4 linked regions of the Arabidopsis thaliana genome follow. The protein of the gene in region 4 purifies or fractionates together with the protein of the main gene of each other region. This does not show direct contact. Each region holds a gene or a part of one and is shown on either strand. Other genes may lie near its edges.

Evidence for each region.
Region 1: the proteins of PRS2 (region 4) and AT3G05060 fractionate together in Arabidopsis thaliana (co-fractionation; one large-scale study listed by BioGRID). This does not show direct contact.
Region 2: the proteins of PRS2 (region 4) and AT2G40650 fractionate together in Arabidopsis thaliana (co-fractionation; one large-scale study listed by BioGRID). This does not show direct contact.
Region 3: the proteins of PRS2 (region 4) and FIB1 fractionate together in Arabidopsis thaliana (co-fractionation; one large-scale study listed by BioGRID). This does not show direct contact.

What each region holds. Positions count from the first base shown.
Region 1 is NC_003074.8:1,412,330-1,418,005, forward strand, and holds AT3G05060 (NOP56-like pre RNA processing ribonucleoprotein), read right to left. Parts: upstream 3,728-5,676; 5' UTR 3,555-3,727; intron 3,260-3,554; 5' UTR 3,236-3,259; coding exon 3,155-3,235; intron 3,067-3,154; coding exon 3,025-3,066; intron 2,932-3,024; coding exon 2,752-2,931; intron 2,672-2,751; coding exon 2,507-2,671; intron 2,301-2,506; coding exon 2,100-2,300; intron 2,007-2,099; coding exon 1,509-2,006; intron 1,403-1,508; coding exon 1,268-1,402; intron 1,145-1,267; coding exon 845-1,144; 3' UTR 538-844; downstream 1-537. Other genes in the region: AT3G05070 (Cwf18 pre-mRNA splicing factor), read left to right, coding at 4,151-4,278, 4,576-4,708, 4,825-4,939, 5,146-5,204. UniProt on the Arabidopsis thaliana protein: Required for 60S ribosomal subunit biogenesis.
Region 2 is NC_003071.7:16,962,738-16,967,609, forward strand, and holds AT2G40650 (PRP38 family protein), read right to left. Parts: upstream 3,062-4,872; 5' UTR 2,860-3,061; coding exon 2,570-2,859; intron 2,375-2,569; coding exon 2,253-2,374; intron 2,163-2,252; coding exon 2,072-2,162; intron 1,982-2,071; coding exon 1,861-1,981; intron 1,766-1,860; coding exon 1,692-1,765; intron 1,221-1,691; coding exon 851-1,220; 3' UTR 549-850; downstream 1-548. Other genes in the region: AT2G40640 (RING/U-box superfamily protein), read right to left, coding at 56-461; AT2G40660 (Nucleic acid-binding, OB-fold-like protein), read left to right, coding at 3,274-3,336, 3,632-3,730, 3,945-4,115, 4,270-4,335, 4,532-4,597, 4,723-4,845. UniProt on the Arabidopsis thaliana protein: Probably required for the first pre-mRNA cleavage reaction catalyzed by the spliceosome.
Region 3 is NC_003076.8:21,292,498-21,297,330, reverse strand, and holds FIB1 (fibrillarin 1), read right to left. Parts: upstream 3,185-4,833; 5' UTR 3,042-3,184; coding exon 3,023-3,041; intron 2,774-3,022; coding exon 2,466-2,773; intron 2,384-2,465; coding exon 2,288-2,383; intron 2,192-2,287; coding exon 2,114-2,191; intron 2,017-2,113; coding exon 1,840-2,016; intron 1,596-1,839; exon of another isoform or gene 1,522-1,595; intron 1,169-1,521; coding exon 1,100-1,168; intron 1,002-1,099; coding exon 822-1,001; 3' UTR 512-821; downstream 1-511. Other genes in the region: AT5G52480 (RNI-like superfamily protein), read left to right, coding at 1-413; EDA41 (FBD, F-box and Leucine Rich Repeat domains containing protein), read left to right, coding at 3,573-3,782, 3,875-4,315, 4,410-4,548, 4,637-4,833. UniProt on the Arabidopsis thaliana protein: S-adenosyl-L-methionine-dependent methyltransferase that has the ability to methylate both RNAs and proteins. Involved in pre-rRNA processing.
Region 4 is NC_003070.9:11,679,893-11,685,023, reverse strand, and holds PRS2 (phosphoribosyl pyrophosphate (PRPP) synthase 2), read right to left. Parts: upstream 3,291-5,131; 5' UTR 2,992-3,290; coding exon 2,848-2,991; exon of another isoform or gene 2,436-2,847; coding exon 2,271-2,435; intron 2,185-2,270; coding exon 1,936-2,184; intron 1,857-1,935; coding exon 1,713-1,856; intron 1,626-1,712; coding exon 1,458-1,625; intron 1,381-1,457; coding exon 1,311-1,380; intron 1,148-1,310; coding exon 1,066-1,147; intron 976-1,065; coding exon 795-975; 3' UTR 504-794; downstream 1-503. Other genes in the region: AT1G32375 (F-box/RNI-like/FBD-like domains-containing protein), read right to left, coding at 4,345-4,623, 4,721-4,855, 4,940-5,131.

The sequences.
Region 1 (5,676 bases), on a different chromosome or scaffold from region 4:
GTATGTACCCACCTAATTTTGGAATTTATTATTAAAATAAACACTAAGAGTTTTTTTTAATATTAAAATAGGAATTGGAAAAACAAATAAAATAAGAAATATGGTATGTAATGAGAGTTTACTTCATCTATCCAATCAAAGAAGCTCCTTTATCAAGACTCTATTGTAAACCAAACAAGGAACAAAAGCTTAAGGAACTAATGATTTACGTCTGTCCTTTAGAATTAGCCATTTTATTTCTTTTATGACTTAAAGCTACATATATTATCTATTTATTCATTCATTCCCAGCATTATTGCTAACTACTATGTATTCTTGTAGACGATATACTAATTTTATTGACCTCATTAATTTGATTAAAATCTTGCCAGACAATAACCAAAGATAAACATGCATAGTCAACAAAGAGAAATACGATCATGAAAAAGATACTAACGCCTGTAAAAAATCTTTAAAATCAAAACAAAATCAAAGAGTATTTTATTTGGTGAATCTACAGACACGTTTAGTAGCAAAAAACTATTTGATTTTTTCAGAATATATTATTTTTCTTCAATTCTTTCCTCTTCCAGATATATATAAATCATGCAAGAAGAATATTGTACAACTACAAACTATAAATTGAAAAAAGAGTTCCAAAATTAATAATCTAGAGTCTGGAAGGCTAGAACAAAAATAAAGTTCGGGTGAAAAGGATTTAAATATGAATCCATCATTCAAAATGACGATTTCAGAAAATTTAAGTTTCATCTTAAAACACCTATTCCTCTAGATAAAATGCAATTCAACAAAAACAGTTATTAATCTTACACTCAAGAGATTTCTCAAAATCGGTTTCTCTCCCTCAGTCCTTACTCTTCTTTTTCTTCTCTTTCTTATCCTTCTTCTTGGCTGGTGTCTCCGTTGTTTCTTCTTCCTCATGCTTTCTCTTCTTCTTATTCTTCTTCTTCTCCTCCTTTGCAACCTCTACTACGGCTTCAGTTTCTGCTTCAGCTTTCTTCTTCTTCTTTTTCTCTGATGGCTCTTCCTCTTCGGGTTTCTCTTCTTCTACCTTCTTCTTCTTTTTCTTATCTTTCTTCTTTGATGGCTCCTCAGATTTAGCTGAGGTTTCCCCAAGAAGAGAATCTGCAGCAGTGTTGTAAGTCTGCACATAACAAAAAACAGTCAAGATCACTTCATCATAATCCCAAGAACAAAGACAATATGTACACACATCCAAAATTAGAAGAAAAGATGATGAATCAAAAACAGAGAGAATGATCGTGACCTTAGCAGGAGTGATAAGACCGCCTGATCCCATCTTTTTATCCTTGTTATAGACTTCAATCTTAGGTTTGCCTTTAGATGAACCAGACAGACGACCTAAATCTTTTCCTTCAAGATTTCTCAACCGCGCTTCAAGCTGTGAGTTTTTAACACATATCAGAAACATCATCAGTTAAGAAGGAGGAAAAAAGATTGTTCAGAGAGATACCAACAAGAGGAAAGCTATTGAAGAATTTTGTTACCTTAGCTCGGTTTTCAAGGCCCATAGTGTTATCTTGGCTATCACCAAGAGCATCAACCCTAATAGCAAGAACAGTTTTAGCAGCTAAAGACCGCGAGATCTTTCCCTTGTGCTTTGGTGCTGCTTGACCAACCAGAGATGCGTGAAAAATCAAACCGTACTTGGGTGTGGCGTGTTTTGTCTTAAGAGCTCTAAAGAGAGCTTTTTCGGCTCCGAGTATCTGAACCGTGCTCCCAGGTTGCTTGGAGAGGTTCAATAAACTACCTCCATGGGAAATAAGACGAGCACCAACAAGCTCTCCTACCAGGGCAGTCAGATTGGGAGCAATAGTGTTCATTCTGCTCTTTAGGTAATCGTAAAGCTGAGCTCTGTACTCAGAAAGAGAGAGAACCTGGTCACAGAGTTCACGGATGTGCAACAAGTCTAAGTCACTGACTTCTGTTCCCATGGATATCACAGCTGCGTCCTTAAGATCTGCCTCAATTTCATCTGCTAAGATCTACAATGAAACCAGAAACAGGAGAATATTAGGTCGTTAATCAAGGCGTTTGTTCATGGAAGCCTCTACACAGTTTACAAAATTGAAAGTTACCTCGGAGAAGTCTAGCTTAGCAGCATTAACTCGGTTTCCCATCAATTTAACAGATTTGGCATATAGGATATTGTCTGATATGATCTTAGCAAGCTCGGGAAAATGCCATCCATACCATTCTCTAACCCTCATGGCGTATGTGTTCAGCTCTTTGTCAAGATCATCAAGCAGACCAATAGCTTGGATAATCATGGTATCCACCTGACAAAAACTAAACAGTTAGGAGATGCAAGAGAAGCAAAAACAAACACAGGAAACGTTTAATGTCGGACAATCAAAGGCTAGTTCAATACAGAAGTTCCATAATTTAACACAAGTTAGCTTCGATCAATTAACAAATTCATATACTTCACATATCATATCACCAAATAAAAAGACCAATACAATTAGTCAGGAACCGAAGATACCTTGTCAGAACTAAACTTTAGCTTATATCTGGCGAGACTGTGAGACAGACCCAAGCTCATAGGAGCCAAGTCTTGATCACCCAACCCAGATATGAGTTCAGTAAACTGACTTCTAACACCACGTAGAAGCTCCATAACAGCATTGTTGTGAATGCAATCAATTTTCTGTATGAAATTAAGAACTTTCATTAGAAACAAAACACAGAGCAGACAGGAATATGGGTGTAATGATGGGAATTACAAACCAGTTTCTCCTTGATAACATTCCCAAGCTTTGAATCAGCCACAGCCAAGGTTTCACCTTGACAATTAGCTTTCAAAAACTTGCGCAGACCTTTGCTTGGAGCTCCCTCCAGCAATTTAGCCACAGCTTCGAGAGCTTCAGATGTATTGTCAAACTTCTCAAAAGCTTTTAGCTTAACCATCTGGTACACCAATAAAAACATATGAGAAACTCAACACTAAATCTAATTTTAGATGTTCTGAAACCACACTTGATGAAGAAGCAAAAAAATTACCTTTCGTGCTGAGTCTGGAGTGTCGAACTCTTTACACAAATCCTGCAAAAAAAAATAAAAAATAATCCATGAATACTTTTAGAGCCTTAAGGATAAGCAAAGAGAGTACAAAAGAATGAAGAGAACTCACCTCGACGTTAGCCATCTTTCCTTCATCTTTAACTTTAAAGAGGGCAAACCCCGCCGCTGTCTCGTATAGCACTAAGACCATCTTCACAAAACTCTTAAGCTGGACCTGAAGAGAAAATTAAGACAACACTTAACTCAGAACAGTAAAGATACGTGTCCGAGTCACACTAATTAAACTAAAAGTTCGTTTTGAGATTAAAAACTAGCGAGAAACAGCATTCCATATAAACCCTAATCCTACTTTTAGATCACATAAGAAATACAGGAGAAGAAAAAACAGAGAGATAAACTACAATAGCCTTAAAACTCTGTCCGAGTATGAGTATTCGAAACTCCACAATCTCCAGCAAGAATGGAAAAGTGAAACACCGTGAAGAGAGAAGATGAGAGATATTAAATACCTGAAGAGTTAATCAAAGCAGCTGCGTGAGAGAGAGGAAGAAGATGAAGACGGAGACGGACAATCACTTAGGGTTTTAAGAGTGTGTTGTTATAGCAGTTAAAGACGAGCCGAGCCTTCTTAAAACGCCGCGTATTGTAAGGGGTATTTCTATAACTTCCATAGTTAGGGTTTAGGTTTTAAGATTAATGGGCCTGACTGAATGGATATTTTAATCTGGCCCGTTTATAATATTAATACGTGGGCGTTTTATTGTTCTCTTCCCCCTTAATAGTTTTTCTTTTTTAATCCCTTTGTTTCTCTGTGGTATTCAACAAATTTGTCTCGAATTTATAGAGCTCGAAGCTTCAAGGTACGGTTTCAAATTTTCTCGTTGATTTTCTGGGTAGATAGCGTTTTCCATACTTCTCTTCAACTTTATTTCATAGTATAGCTCTGATTTTGCTAAAACTTCATCTGATTAGTTCCGTGGATCCTGAAAATCACGATTTTGCGTGTTGTTTAGGGTTATACTCTGTAGTTGTGTGATTAGTGTTTGAAGAAGCTGGGCTAGTGTTCGATGTTTACGTCGATAACCTAATTTTGCAGGAAGTTATAATGGCTAGTGAAGATGAATCGATTGAACAAAAAGCTGCTGCTCGTAAAGAGGCACTTAAAGCTCTAAGGGCAGCTCAGGAACTGTCTGAGACCAAGGAAGACGGAGAGGATGAAGCTGTCGAAGAAGAGTGAGTTTGCTTTGTTCTTTGCTTATTTTGTTTGTCTTGACTAGCACATGGAGTTGTTAATGTTGTGTGTTGGCTTTAGCATAACTAGGAGCTTCTCTTGTGCTTTGCTTCTCGCCTTTACTATCACTGTTTGTGAGAGAATCAATAATGGTGCTCTTGCAGCATCTGTTACCTAACAATTTTTTCCAATTTCAAGTTGCATTGTTGTGTATACTTTGCTTAGGTGGTTGGTTTTGTTGATTGATTATTCGAGGTAGATTCCCTTTTTATTCATATGAATTGTCTTTGATTTTACAGTGGTCCAGCCATGAAGTTTAGAAACTATGTTCCCCAAGCTAAGGAGCTTCAGGATGGTAAACTAGCGCCACCAGAGCTACCCAAATTCGAAGATCCGATCGTTGCACTTCCACCTGCTGTAGAGAAGAAAGAGGTGTGTGTGACAGTTTTTCTTTTCTCTGTACAAGGATCACCAAAAGCGACTCTGTTTAGCATTGTTGTTTCCTTTACTTGTGCCTCTTAAGCTTACAAAAAATGTTATCATTGTAGGACCCATTTGTTAACATCGCTCCAAAGAAGCCAAACTGGGACCTCCGAAGAGATGTGCAGAAGAAGCTTGATAAGCTCGAAAGGCGGACTCAAAAGGCAATGCATAAACTCATGGGTAAGTGGCAACTGTATCTACATACTGATATCTTCTATGTAAGCTTGATAATTAAGACATTAGTCTGTGGTTCGTGAGTAAGTGAGTAACATTTCACTGAATCTGTTGGTAGTATGATACCAAATCATAGAAGTCCAAAATAGAGTGATCTGTTGGTGTTTGTTTATTATGGAACTAACACATGCACTTTCATCATCTAATTGCAGAGGAGCAAGAGAAAGAACGTGAGATGGCTGAAGCTGATGGTAACACCATAGAAAGTTGAAACCCAACGACGTCATCAAAGAAAGCCACCACTGAACAGTATATTCTACTCGATTTTGTTTAACTGTTAAAGCATTCGAAGTGAGTAGACCATGTAAAATCCTACAGCCATTGGCATAGACATAGTAGGTTTATCTTCTTGTGTGAATCAAAGAAAGTCGCAATTTATTTCCGAGTAGAATTAAGTGCGGTCCGGTTTTTCTCTAAATTTGGTTCAACATCGGTGGTAATCTAGTTTGATCATTAATGGAACTGCGTTTTTTGGTTTGATTCGATTTACTGTGGTTTGATAAAGACATCCCAAACTAGAAACCAAAGTTTTGATTCGGGCTAGACGGGTTTAGTTTGGAGTCTGGGAAAACAACACAGAGAGCTTCTAAGACCTTTCTTCTCGGCATGTTGCTTCCACAGTGGGATGATGGAGTTTAGATACAATATTTGTTTATTAATACCGAACAATCAAAAATAGATAC
Region 2 (4,872 bases), on a different chromosome or scaffold from region 4:
ACAATCTTGGAATCTCCGGTAGTCGTGAAAGAAGTAATGTAGAGTATTATTATACCTGGATTTTTACTTTCTCTGTTGGTTTCTTCAGCTGCAGCAGAATCATAATTGTTACCGGAATCAATACCAGGCTGAATCAGAGCAGTTCGTCTTCGGATAGAAACGTCGTACTCTTCATCATCTCCATCGGAATACATGGTTTCATCTTTCTCAATTCTATTTCCGCAGAAACCTTGCTGGGTTCTGAAATGGCGATCGCCGACGGTTTCGAGCTCCCGGATCTTAGTACCTGAATCTCCCACACGGAAACGCAAAGATTCATCTTCAACGTGGAATACGAACCGAGGATCGATACTGTCGTTAACGGACATTTGCTTTTCCGCCGGAAAATTCAGAAGGCGATCGATAGAGACTGGAAGAGCACAGAGAGAGAGTTTAAAACGACGTCGTCGTAAGTGGGACATGAGTAGCACGCGCGTCGTGATGGTTAATGATTATGAAACCGTATCATTTACCTATAAGCTTTTGGTGGGTCCGATTTACATGGACTCATAAAGTGATATCGCCACGTAGACATAACATATAGGTTTTTATATTTATCTGAATTACCTTAAAAACAACTAATATCAAGAACCGGGTTACATTCAGAATTTCTCGACCACAATTCGTTTACGGTTTAGAGAACATACAGTACAATGCCATTACAGATTCTCCATTTTGTTCTACATTAAAGAGGGATCAGGTAAACTCAAAAAAACCAAAACTATAGTGAGTAGGATCACAGTGTAGTAACCGGTTTAGCTGGGCAAATGAACCAAGTTTCGGTTTGATAAAGATGTCCTCATTTCACAGTTCAGTCCCTGAGGGGTTTCATTCCCAGTGATGCTCTCAGTCTATTCATCTCTGCAATTTCAGGATTTGGATGATCGGTTCCATCTTCCTTCATCTTCTCCTTCTTTTCTTTCTTTTTCTTAGGTTCTTCCCGATCCCGCACATCATCAGTTTCATGTCTCTTACGATCCCTACTCCTGCTTCTACTTCTGCGCCTTGCCCTGTCTCTTCTGTCTCGTTCTCTATCTCTGCCTCTTTCCCTGTCCCTATCTCGCTCTCTATAGTGATCCCTGTCTCTCTCCCTATCCCGGTCTCGACCATGCCCACGTTCTCTTTCATAGTCTCTGTCATGATCTCGATCCATATCATAGTCTCTGTCATAATCACGATCCCTGCCAATCACAGAACCATGGTCAAATTATAATTCATGAAACAATGAGCTCAAGTCTCAACATCAATCATAATGAAAATCTGTAACAAAAAGAAAACATTGATTGAGCTAAAAACTAGATGGGAAGTGCTCTCATGATTAACTGATCTTTTTCAAAGTAACACAATGACAACTACCATATACTGTATCAGGGTAAGGATTGTAATAATGTCTGATCCATAATACTTCTCTCTGAACACTGTCAGTACAGAGAAACCTGGAAGGATCTCTACAAATTTAATTTCGGAAGCTGTATCCAACCGCTGATGGCTTGAGATGCCATAGTGGAAACAGACACTCAAAAGACAGAGTACTAGACATGATGCAAGAGCATTAGCTAGATCAAACAGCTTCCACAATCACAAAGAATTTTTTTTTGAAAAATGTTAACTAGCATAGAAATGTATCTAGTAAAGGTCACGGATTCAGATACCTGTGTCTATGACTGTCGCGTCTCCTGTCTCTGTCTCTTTCTCTTTCTCTTTCAGGACTCTTACGGCGCTGATCCTGTAAAAGAGGAGGAAGATGGTATCATCTTAGAGCTGCTAGATAGAAACAGAAAACAGATCACATAAAAACTATTGCAGAATGAAAGCACTGACCATCTCATCTTCAGATCCATCAGCAATCCCTTCATTCTCCTCCTTTTCTTCCTCTTCTTCAAAGTCGTCTTCCAAAACACTTTTCCTTGGCTCTAATAAACCATTCTGTTCAAGCGTCCACCTATCATCAGAGTGAAAAATTAACCATCTTAAAATACTGCAGAAACCAAAAACTAATTATTCAGCTTCAGACAAATGCAAAAGAAGAAACCTTTTCTTCAAACGTGGCATTGCAATATCACAAGAATAATCCTTGGTTAGAAGTTCCTCAATGACTTCGTCCACATGTGTCAGCGAAAACTCTATTCCAAACCAAAGAAATAAATCTAGTTAGTGAACAAATCAATCAAAAGTTAAACACAACGGATCCATCGAAAGAAAATGAAACTTACTCCCATCAGATAACTTTTGTCTCACTTTCCGGTAGTCATTGTAGAGAGGTTCGAGGTAGCGATAGACATCAACATCAGTCCCAGTGAGACGCAGATAGAACGCACCAAGAATACGAACATATCTGCAGAAACCAAAAGAGTAAATATTTCAGTAATTCAAGAACAAATATCTGCAGAAACTAAGAGAGTAGATTATCTAAGACCAATAGATTTGAGAGACATTCCATACCTGTATACTTGAGAAACAACTACGACAAGGCTAATAGCAGTATCCAATCTAGATTACGCAGAAATAAGCTTTTGGTTAGAAATCTTACTTGTAGTCATCATTTTTTATGAACTCCACGACAATTTCCTTCTCAGGCTGGATTTGAAGCATCTTCAATATGAGGCAAAGGAACGGAGTAGGCTTGCGGCTACCACCAAAGGTACCACCTAGATGGTCGAGCTCCATAGCTTTGTCCACCAATGTCTCCGCCGTGAGACCAAAGCACTGCTCCTTCCAAAAGGTGTGCTGATAAATCTTCGTTCGCACAATCTTCTCTACCAGATTCTGCGGATTCGTTCCTCTTATATTCTTTGCCAACGGATCTGTTCTGTTTGCCATTATCGCCTGAAGTTAATCAGAAACTGCCTCAAAGGCCTAGTCGTCGGAATAATAAACGTCGAGCGACGCCGCTTCAGTGAAGCCGGAATCGATGAAACAGCTTCCACGAATTTGCCGTCGTCGAAGACGAAGACACTCTAGGTCTTTGAAGAATCTGAGAAGTTAATTCATTTATTTTATTTTATTAATGATTGCTTTCGGTGGTAAAGCCCATAGTAAGAACATATTAATGGGCTGCTAATATATCTAGGCCCATTATAGATGGAGATAACGCCGTTAGTTGGAAGTCCGTTAGGACCGTTAGTTACATCAAGCAAAAACCCTATCGAAGAAATTGCAGTGTGTTTTCTTACAGCGAAGAGCCCCAAAGAGAAGAACAAAATTTCGAAAATAGAGAAAGAGAAGAAGTTGACGATGGATTCAAAGGCGAAGCAGATGATTCTTTCAGCTCTCTGCAAACACTTCTCTTTGGATCCTGTAAGTATTGAAGAAGATGACATCTCAAAAGCTTCTGCTTTTTTGTGAGGTTTTGCTTGGTAGCTGAGTATGTGTATGATCATTTTTTGAATTAGTTAGTGGAGAAAACTCGAACATTATCTGATTGGGTACTGAAATCAATTAGAAAGTTTATGTTTTGGACTTATCAGTGTTTACGCTTATGCATCAAGCTGGTCATGAAAAAGGAAAAAACTTTAGAAATTGGCTTTTATGATTTTACATTGTGATGATTTATTGGTTCTGTTTCTGAAATTGATTTGATTCATTTGTTTAGGAACCTTTTGTGGGCGGAGCGGGTGAAAGTGATATCAAGACACTTTATTCTAATGTATTGAAGGCATCTGGAAAGGAAGTATCTGCACAAAACAACGATGTAAGTCGTTTCTTCTTGAATTTGGTTCCTATAGACATAAACGCCAAACTCTTACTGGGAATTTATTGAGTTCCCTTCTCGTTGCTACCACGTTAGAAAAAAAATGAATTAGTATGTTTGAGTTCTGTGTAATGCTAAATGATGAGGATTCGTTGGCTTTCGTTTGCATAATGCGTCATTGTTTCACATTTTAAAGAGTAAAAACCTATTTCAGGTTTTGAAGTGGCTAGATTTTGCGGAAGGTTTCTCTTCAGATTCAAAGGATTGGTTTTCAGCTCTTGAAAAGTTGAATTTAGAGTTAGCTACCAAGTCAGTGCTCTTGGGAAACGGATTGACGCCATCGGCAGCTGATGTTGCTGTGTTTTCAGCTCTGCATTCTTCAGTGGTACCACTTCTCTATATTCCGTAGTCTACTTATTTTTCGTTCCTGTATAAGTAATTTTATGTTACTTGATAAAGATGCTACGATCAAATTTTCATAAACTGATGACTAAAGGTATTAAATACTAACTGTTATCTGTTTGACTTGCTGTTCCCAGCTTGGCCTCTCAGATTCAGACAAGGAGAAAGTACCACATGTCATAAGATGGGTGAATTACATCCAGGTAAGTTCGACATCATAAAGTTTTGTTACTTGATTGCGCCGAGGTAGCCTGTAAATCCATGGAGGACTACTTTATGTGTACGCGTAACGGCGTTAGTGACTATAGCTAGATATGCACTCTCTGAACATCACCTTTCACATTTTTCTTTCCTTGTGATTGTCTGCTTTACGAATATATGCTGCGTATTATTTTACAGAATAAAGAAGAGTTGTCGACATTATTTGCACCAATACCTGTGAAGCTACCAGAATTTAGCTTCGAGGTGAATTATCTTTTCATACCCATTTTCTTAGACTGAGAAACAATAATAACATGCTACTTTTTTCAGATGTATTACATGCGATGAGAAAATGGTTTTCTGATCTTTTTCATTTATTCTAAACGTAGGTACCAAAACCTGCCATTAAGGTGGAAACAAATTCTAATTCAAAAAAAGCTGCAGAAGGTGTAAAGCCTGTTGACAAGCCAGATGTGCAGCCGCAGCTGGGCACAAAGAAAACTGAGCCAGAGGTACTTATTTTAACTTTTAAGTTTGAT
Region 3 (4,833 bases), on a different chromosome or scaffold from region 4:
AGACATTGATGCTAAACCGCCTCTTTTACTTAAGTTCGGATGATGATGATCATGATGCCATAGCAATTGCAGAAAGCATGCCTAAACTACGCCATCTCCAGCTTTGTGGGAACAAACTAACCAAAACAGGCTTAAACGCCATTCTTGACGGTTGTCCTCACCTGGAACACCTCGATTTACGCCAATGTATCAACCTTGTCGGGAATCTAGAGAAGCGTTGTTTTGAGAAAATTAAAGATTTGAGACGCCACAATGATTCTACCTCTGCTGATTACCCGTTTTCTTTTGAAACTTACTATTTTCATTGGTCACGCCAATTGGCAATACTTAAAAATGCGCTACCGATGGAAGAAGGCGCCTATAACTTTGATCCAATAGTGGAAGAAGCCGAATATTACTTGAAACTGTATTGAGACTTATGTCAATAACACTTAGTCGGTTTGTTTGTGTTTAAAATTTTATTAACCAAAAAAAAATGAGTTCCTTTCAGAGCTAAGTGATACTTTTACGCCTTTTCTTGAGCATAATCATGTTCAAAACAAACTACTTCAACAATCAATTCAGCATGCAGAAACAAGTAGGATTAAAATGGACAGTAGTTCTTATAGCCAAGCAAAAACAAGCATAGAAAAGACTGATGGAGATACAATCATTGGACGAAAATGTTGCATCAATATATATTAGTTCTAAAACGAGGATAAAATTTTCCAAATGAGACATAAAAGCATTATCCATCTCTAGCTTAATACAACAAGCAAGGAGATAAAAACAAAACCCAGTAAATAAGTCTTAATACACAGGCACTACTGTCCACAGTTCCTCTATGAGGCTGGGGTCTTTTGTTTCTTCGGCATGCGGTAACCACCAACAACACAGGCATGGTCACGCTCAAACGGCTCGAGAGTCACCTGTTCTGCTGGCTTAAACTGCTCTTGTTGCAGCTTCTTCACCTCGCTCTGGAAGACTGCTTCTGCTGCAACTGTAGAGTCGATACAGTTGGCCTGAACAGATGAGACATGTTTATTTAGCGACGGAAATACAAATTGAATAATAACAGAGGAGAACATTGTTGAATTTGATTAAGGATAAGAGCACTGACCTTGATTGAGATAACAAAGTGTCCACCAGTTTTGAGGAAAAATGAGGCATTCAGGGCCAAGATTCTTGCCTTCAAGAGTTAGGCAAATAGATGGATTCAATTAAATAAAACATAAACAGAGAACCAAAATGAGAATAAAGAGAGACATTAACATAAACATAGAAACATTTATGGAATCATTGCAGATTTCTTGGAGCAATCTCTGCTAGCTCAGCAATATTGCTACAACAATTGAGTCTCCAAGTTTAGTAATAAAGTAAAACTTCTAAATGACTTGAAAATGCAATTGTTGAAAACCAGAAGAAACCGAAAAGACTTCTTCCAAATCGATAAGATATACCAAATGAAGACAAATAAAAACTTTGAGATTAAAACAGATTTGCATGTTCAAAGTAAAAAATTTTAGTAAAAAGATACAAAGTAGCATCAGAAGCTTGGAGTTTGCAACACCCATAAATGTTCTGAAGGGGAATCCAAGTAAAATCATCATCTGCCGATTTCATTGTACTGATTTTTTTAAAAGCAAAAGATGCAATGCAATAAAAAAAAACTTTGAAGATATAACTGTAAAATAAAAAGGCTTCAAACATTTCATAGTAAATGAAATGTCATCATATGCCGATTTCAATGAACTGATATTTTAAAAGCAAAAGATGCAATGCAATATGACGTAACCTTTGTGAATAAAACTGTAGAAAGGGTAACTTCAAACTTTCATAGTAAGAAATATAGAACCAAACCTGATCTGGCTGAGCAACATCAGAGAATATGACATCAACCATGCCCACGAGCATTCTGTACTTAGCCGGATGTCTAGCATCTTCAATGATTGGAATAACGTTAGTTCTCTTCTTGGCCATGTTCACCAAATCTCTACCACTTCTATGAGAAAACTCAACAGCATAAACACATCCCTCCTACAAATCATAAAGCAATAGAACAAAGATAAGTCTCAAACATAGGATAGAAATGGACCTACGGATAACTAAAATAATAATTTAGTGAAAGACTTACAGGGCCAACGAGGTCAGAAACATGAGAGACAGTGGTCCCAGAAGCAGCACCCAAGTAAAGAACTTTGGCACCAGGTTTCTACAAAAGTTTTAACAAAGAACCAATTCAAGCACATGTCTTTCAATACAAAAAAAGAAAACAGAGTCAATGTGGTATGTGTATAGATGGACTTACGATCCAAATGTTGTCGACACCACCAAGAATTGCAGCAGCTAACTTAGATCTAAACGGATTCCAAACTCTGTATTCAACCTTAGTTCCATCTTCATTCTGCAAAAGTGAAGTAGCTATAATATAAGAACAAAAACAAACTCAATTTAATTATAAAGAAAACAATCCTCAAACTTCATACCTGAACAGAGATTCTCTTCTCATTGTAAACAGCTTCACCAGGAACCAAATTCTTAGTGACAAGAGCATCTTCTTTACCCTTAGCAATAAACACTCCCGCATGTCTGTGAGGCTCAACAATCACTTTGCTTCCTCCTTTCATTCCTCCACGAGGTGGTCCTCCACGACCACGAGGCGCACCACGTCCTCTGCCGCGAGGCCCACTACGGCCTCTGTCACCACTACGGCCTCCTCCAAAGCTTCTTCCACCTCCAAAACCTCTTCCACCACCATCTCTTCCACCTCTGAATCCTCCACCACCACGTCCTCCTGATTATAACAATACCAACATACAGAAAATTAACTAAACGGAAGAACAGAGTGTTATTAAAAATCTCTACTTTTATCTTTGAACTTTATTGAAACAGTGAAGATACAAAAGGCTCATGAATTAAAACCCTAACTACCAATTCAAACTACAGAAACCGTAATGATACGAATTCAGATTTGATACGGACAGGGTTATACTCTAGAGGCAGACAGAACAAGAAAGACATAAACTTTAACTAAGGTTCTTACCTGTAACTGGGGGTCTCATATTTGCTTGTCTAAAAGTGAAGAACGAAAGACGAGAACCGAAAAAAAACGAGGGCAAAGGAGAGAGATGTGCGGTGGTGGCTGATTTTAGAGTCTCTGTGAGTTGGTTTATATATTAAGATTTTAGGGCTTTTAGGGTTTATGCTTTGGTAACATTTCTTGTATTTTATAAATAGGCCCTTCTATTATATATATCTTAACTACATTAGTCTACTACATTGGTAACGATGGGTCCAAACTCCAAAGTATGGAGTTGGGTTTGATCCGGATTGGGTCAAGATAATAATGGGCCGATTTTATTGGCCCAAAGTGGGTTTGTTTATGTCTCACGGAAAAGATAAGTTAGGGTTTTATTTTTGTGAGACAAGAAGAGTTAGTTATTCACTTATTCTCAATTTCTCATAGAGAAATTACGAATATATCTAAGGTTCTCGATCATCTAAAGTTTTTAGGGTTCGACTTGCTCCTCCTCGTCTCTGCTTACCTATATTTGAAATCTTTATCACAAACTCAGCTAGCTATTACATCACTAATGGCCGAACGTTGTCAAAGAATTGATGAAGAGGTTGTTGCTTCTAGAGACGAGATCAGTTCGTTGCCCGACGATTTGCTTATCCAGATTTTGTTGCTTGTACCGATCAAAGATGCAGTTGGGACAATGATATTGTCAAAACGATGGCGTTATGTCTGGACGTTGTTGCCTAAACTCGAGTACAGTGATCCTGGTGATGAATGCGAAAGCGTGTGGAAGTTTCTTGAAAAGTTATTGGAACTTCACAAGGCACCTTTTCTAGAAACTTTGTGCATCCAACTCGGTAAAAATTTTCTATTGAGGTAGATGTTGGGAAATTAGTTGCAAATGCAGTTGATCGCTTTGTGCGCAAGCTAGAGTTAGAGCTCCACTGGACGGCAGAGCCTACCAGCTTGCCTAAGAGTCTTTACACATGCAAAACACTTGTGGAATTGACTCTTTCGGACAAGATTATAGTGGATGTTCCTTCTTCGGTTTGCCTCCCGTCACTCAACATATTACGCCTTTTTTATGTGGTGTTCAAAGATGAAAATTCTCTAGAGAGGCTTATATCAAGTTGCTCAGTTCTTGCCCGATCGAAAGTGGGCCTCGCCATCAGTGATAACCGGGACTACCGTTTCGCGAAGGTGCATAAGCTTCGCCTTGAAAAGCCACATATCGACGTTGTATGTCATACTGATGACAAGTTTCTCAAAGCTATTTCCTTGGTCACGTATCTTGTGTTACCTTTGGAAGATCCAATGGTATCTATCCTTTTTATTATTATTGTTTTTTTTCTTCTTGGCTGTTAGGTTTGATCACATTGATTTATATTGGCTTTTGATTTAGTCATTGAAGGCTCTGGATTTTCGTGGCTTTACCTTCACTCGACTTGGAAAATTAGTGATATGTCCACATGGCCATCTCTGGTTGGATATAATTCCACTAATTCTCAACAACTCTCCTAAACTAAGATTTCTTGCTATCACTTCTGTAAGTAACAAGTAACAACGCAATCTCCTTGTTGTATAAACTGATTCTTTGATTCCACCTCATAGATTTTTATGTACTTGCATCCAGGTAAGTGGATATCGACCCGGAAATCTCCCATTGTCATGGTACCAACCAAGGTACTGTTCCCAGATGCTTGTCGGCTCATTTAGATGAGGAGTTTGTGTGGCATGGATATAGAGGAAACGAAGAAGAGACACAGCTCATAAGATACATTTTTGCTAATGCAAAGTGTTTAAAGAAAGTGACAGTCACATCTATATGGGAACAT
Region 4 (5,131 bases):
AATCATTGGGAGGGTTTTTATTAAGAGTAGATCAGAACCTGTCGAGATATCACAATAACATCACTCAAATGTTGTCAGTGGATTGACAGACTGTGAATTCTTTATCGTCACTTCGACCACACACCAAAAAATAGAACAAAAGAAAAGCTTAGAACTCTAAGGTTATGTTTGCCGTCAACGATGAATAACTTCATCTCTGGCACACGGTAGTTACATCACAGCAACTACTCAAGATTTTCGAACATAAGAATTCAAAACCACAAAAGAATATGATTAAACTATGAAACAGAGATTATAGGGAGACATATCGGACCACAGAGAGACGAAGGAAACACTTATCTGTTTCAAGCGGCGATGAAAAGACTATTTATATGCAACGACGGGCTTGATAAAACCCTAATTTGTTCCTTTTTTTTTGCAATAAAAATTGGTTAACCGAAGAAAGAACACTAAACCATAAAAATTAGTCACTTATTTCATAAAATGCCAAAACTATTTATTGCCAGAAATATGCAAGTTGGGGAAATTGTTAATTTAGAAATTCTCAATAAATCCTGAGAAATAATGTTTACACCATAATGTAATTATTTTCAATAAACCAAAATATTAAAATTTTATTGTCATTGATATCTCATAACTCTATTATGCTAAAAAGAAGAAAAGATAGAACTGTGACATACTTTAGGTGAGTAAGAGAAGCAAGACATGGTTAGACTAGAAACTGTCGAGAAGAAGTAGAACAAAAAAGAGGAACTTAGACCGATCCTAAACCGATTAACAAAAACCAACAAGTATCAAAGGAAAATACTACTAACGGAGCTATCATCATGGACACGCCAAATGGTCTCACCCAGAAGATTAGCCACCGATAATATCGTTAACTGCGGGAAGTAATTCTTCTCCGCTACTGGTAAAGTATTCGTCACTATCACTTCTTGCAGCAAACCGCTTGATAACCGCTCTATCGCAGGAGGACTGTGACATTGATTCATTCAAGAAAACGGTCTCTTAGTTTCATAAACGAAAATGGAGAAGAACTGGTAAAACTCAAGCTAATGGGTTTACCTGAAAACAGCGTGTGTACAGCAAGCGTAAACCTCACGTGCACCCTCCTCGTGTAAAAGAGCTGCTCCTTTCACAATGGTTCCTGTAAATAAGAAGATAAAAAACTGGTTCTTAGTAATGTATGGCCTGCAAATCACAGAATAATCTCTATTTAGTAATATCTCGATTATGGCCTAGAGTTTGGAAGCTTTTGTTTATAACAAACATATCAACGGAAAGAGGAGTTTCTGGCAATTTTTACTAACCAGCTGTATCAATAATATCATCCACCATTACTGCCACCTTCCCTTTAACATCACCGATTAGGTTCATGACCTGTGGGAAAGAGTATTATCAACACATGAGAACTTGCGTGTAGAAAGGATAAAATGAAGGTAAATTTAAATTTTTACCTCAGCGACATTGTGGCCGTGACGCCTTTTATCGACAATGGCAAGTGGTGCATCAGATAATTTCTTAGCAAATGCACGTGCCCTGGCTACTCCACCAACATCAGGAGAAACCACTACCAAATCCTCAGAGGAAATTGACTTGCTAGCAAGATAATCAAGTATCACAGGCTGAAATGTAATCACAATTGTGTAAGATTTTAAAGGTTGCATAAAAAGTAGAGGCTTGTCTATCAAAAAGGTTGAAACTTAAGATACCTGGCAATAGACATGATCCACTGGTATGTCAAAATAACCCATGGATTGTCCTGAATGAAGATCACAAGCCAGAACCCTATCTGCACCGGCTTCTGTTATAAGGTTTGCTACCAATTTGGCAGCAATAGATTCACGCCCTTGTGTCTGAAAACATCAATAGATACATCAGATGAAATTACTTGACATACTGTATCTACCATTGAAGAAGACAAAAAGAACCTACCTTTCTATCAGCTCTTGCGTATCCAAAATACGGAATCACAGCTGTGACTTTCTTAGCTGATGCTCTTCGGCAAGCATCCACCATGATCAATAGCTCCATGAGATTCTCATTAGTTGGAGTGCAAGTAGGCTGCACCAAAAAGACATCGCAACCTCTAACACTTTCTTTGAGCTGAACATAGATCTCTCCATCAGCAAATCTCTTTATGCTAACCTTCCCAAGCTCCAGACCCATATACCAAGCAATTTCCTTCACAAAATTCCAAGAGTTTAGCATATACTTCACCAGAAGAAAACTTGATTAAAAAAGACAACCAAAGGTCTCGAGAAAACTACCTGAGATAAAGCTGGATTAGCAGTACCAGAGAACAACTTGAGCTTAGTATTGTTTCTACTAACCGATTTCTCCAACCGTGAAGAATCAAAGAACTTAGGAATTGTCGTCTCATTAATAATTGGAACACGAGCGTTCCCGTTTAGTGCCTTAGGCAAATTGCATTTCTATCAAACACAATGACAAGGAATTGTGAAACCAAATTCAAAATGTTAGACACAAAATTTAACCAACACACGATCTCTCTTACATCTCTCTACAAACATAAGAATAACCAAACATTCATGAACAGTATTCAACACACAAGATTCCAAAGCTGAAAGTTCCAAATTCCAAATTCTACAGTCACATACATGGACAAAGTCAAGCCAAGAGCGACGACAACACACAAATTCTCACAAAATTAGCCTGTAAACGAACTGCTAATAGCATCTACTAAATCCAGAAAAATCTCACAGATCATCAAAGCATAGATTCATCCAAAAACAATTTGAATTTTCTTATAACAAATACATGAAACGCAATGTGAATATCGAATTCATTCATTAACATGAAGGAAAAAAAATGCTCAATGCTCACCGCGTAACCAGAAACGCAGATTCGAGAGCGAGACTCAGTGGTCCTGAAAGAAATCGAGGAACGGGAGAAGAGAGACGAAGACGACGAGGAGAGATACGAAGGAATCTTAACGGAGGGAGGAGAAGTCAGAGCCAACGACGCCATATGTAAATATATACGTCGGAAACACCTGGAATCTCTTGAGTCACGGCAAATATCAGACTCCTCTCAACGTTAAGAATTCCGATAGAGAAGAGAACTAATCGAAGGATATTAGGATTTAGGGTTCCAAATTTGGAGTGAGAAACGAAGGAGAAGGAGGAGAAGAAGAAGGTAATGGTGAATATGTTTGTTGTTGTTTCTTTCTTCTCCGGGAAGAAGAGTGACTCAAGCGGTGCGGCGATGGGTCTTCTCTCTTTCTCGAAATTTGGAATTTTCAATTGTAATTTTGTTACACTAAAAACATACAAAAATAAATATTGTTTAGAAACGGTGTCGTTTGGTTGATGGCTAAAATCGTCTCTGCTCGTAGCTTTCACAGCTTACGTGTCATGTAGGACTTAACATTGAAGGAGTCGAAAAGAGAAATTGTTTTCAAACACAAATTCTAAAGAATCTCATACTGATTCCTAATGCCCACTTGTTTCTAAGCATTTTTCATGCCACTTTAGGATTCCAATAACTAATTATGAACATAAATTTTCTAAAAAAAGAATATATTTTCAGCAAAAAAACTTTTTTTAAAAAAAAAACCATTTGTATTTTGGGTTCTTTCGGCTATACAAATAGATTGGGTCACATCATTAATATTGGCCATTGCAACAATTGAAAAGTGCAAATTTTGGAAAGAACAAGTCAAAAACTCAAAAGGTGAAGATGTGATTCTTCTCCTACATAAAAAAGGTTACAACTTACAAAAGACCTCTTCAAGGTACTTACAAAACATCATAGAGATTGCCTTAATACTTGTTTTGAGTTTAAAGAGATCCAAATTGAAAACATATGCAGCCATAAGGATTTGTTGCCATTTGTGTGAAACTGAAAAGGCAAACGGGTTATAATAATAAGAAGCCACAATGTCATATTTAACACATTAAAGATATAAGGAGATGTGATTAGCCATTGCCACGACCTCTTGCGTATCCGAGTCCATTAGACCATTTGCAATATCATTTTGCTCTAAATGATTACACGTGGTCAATTCATATTTCCATCTACCTAAATCCAAGCTCATAACGGATTACACTAAACAAAAAGACCAAAATGTCTCTAAGTTCATTGACCATTTTAGAACGTCATTCTTCGCTTGTCGAAGAATATGCAGTGAGAAGCAGAGCTAAATAAGATAAAAACTCAAAAGGGTTATAAGACATAAGAATACACAACGTCAAAAGAATAAAAACTTGAGCAACATAAGTTTCTAGGGAAAACTAGTTTCTTTAAGAAGAGAAAACACAAGTCTATAAGATTGGATCAAACACAGACCAACTTGACTAATGAAGAAGACTGAACTAAACTTCAGTCGAATGCAATCTGACATGTAGGTGAACGCCTGAACAACAATGACAACTCCTTGAGCATCTCAAATTTCTTGTTGATGTCAGTGGATTTAGAGGAGATAGTCACCTTCTTTAAACAGCTTCCACTTCTTAAGATGAATGCCGCTACTTCTTTCTCTTCTTCTGTTCCTTCATATTTTACCCATTCGAGAGTTTCAAGACTTGTCAACAGACATTCAGGAACTGCACTCGGTTCATTCCAGCACGGCCGCGGTTGATGAGATCGATAGACATGGTTCTAAGATAAAAGTAAGATATCATCACACTGTTATTCTACTGAAAATATATGCTGATATATCATAGAGACTGAATAATTCAGGTTTAGATCTGCAGACCTTAACAAGTTTGAGTTCTCGTAATTTAGGGGAATCTCTGAGTACACACATAAGTAGATTTAGCCACTCTGTCTCACATGTGCATATCGTTAAACGTACAAGACAGTGGAAGACACTACCAACAGGATAAGCATCCTGCATAAGAGACACTACATAAGTAATTTGATCACAAAGAAACCAATAATATATGTAGATAACAGAACTATAGAAACATATTACCTTAGAGGATGGTATACATACATAGAGACGCTTGACGGAAGAAATAGAACCCATGAGCTGCTGCGTATGTACATAAGAATTGCAAACATTTGCCTTCACAACCTTAGTCATATTATTCTCAATGACACAAAAACCACCCCTACCATCTTCAATGTCTAAGCACTCCAAAGAAGGAGTATCTATCACAAACCC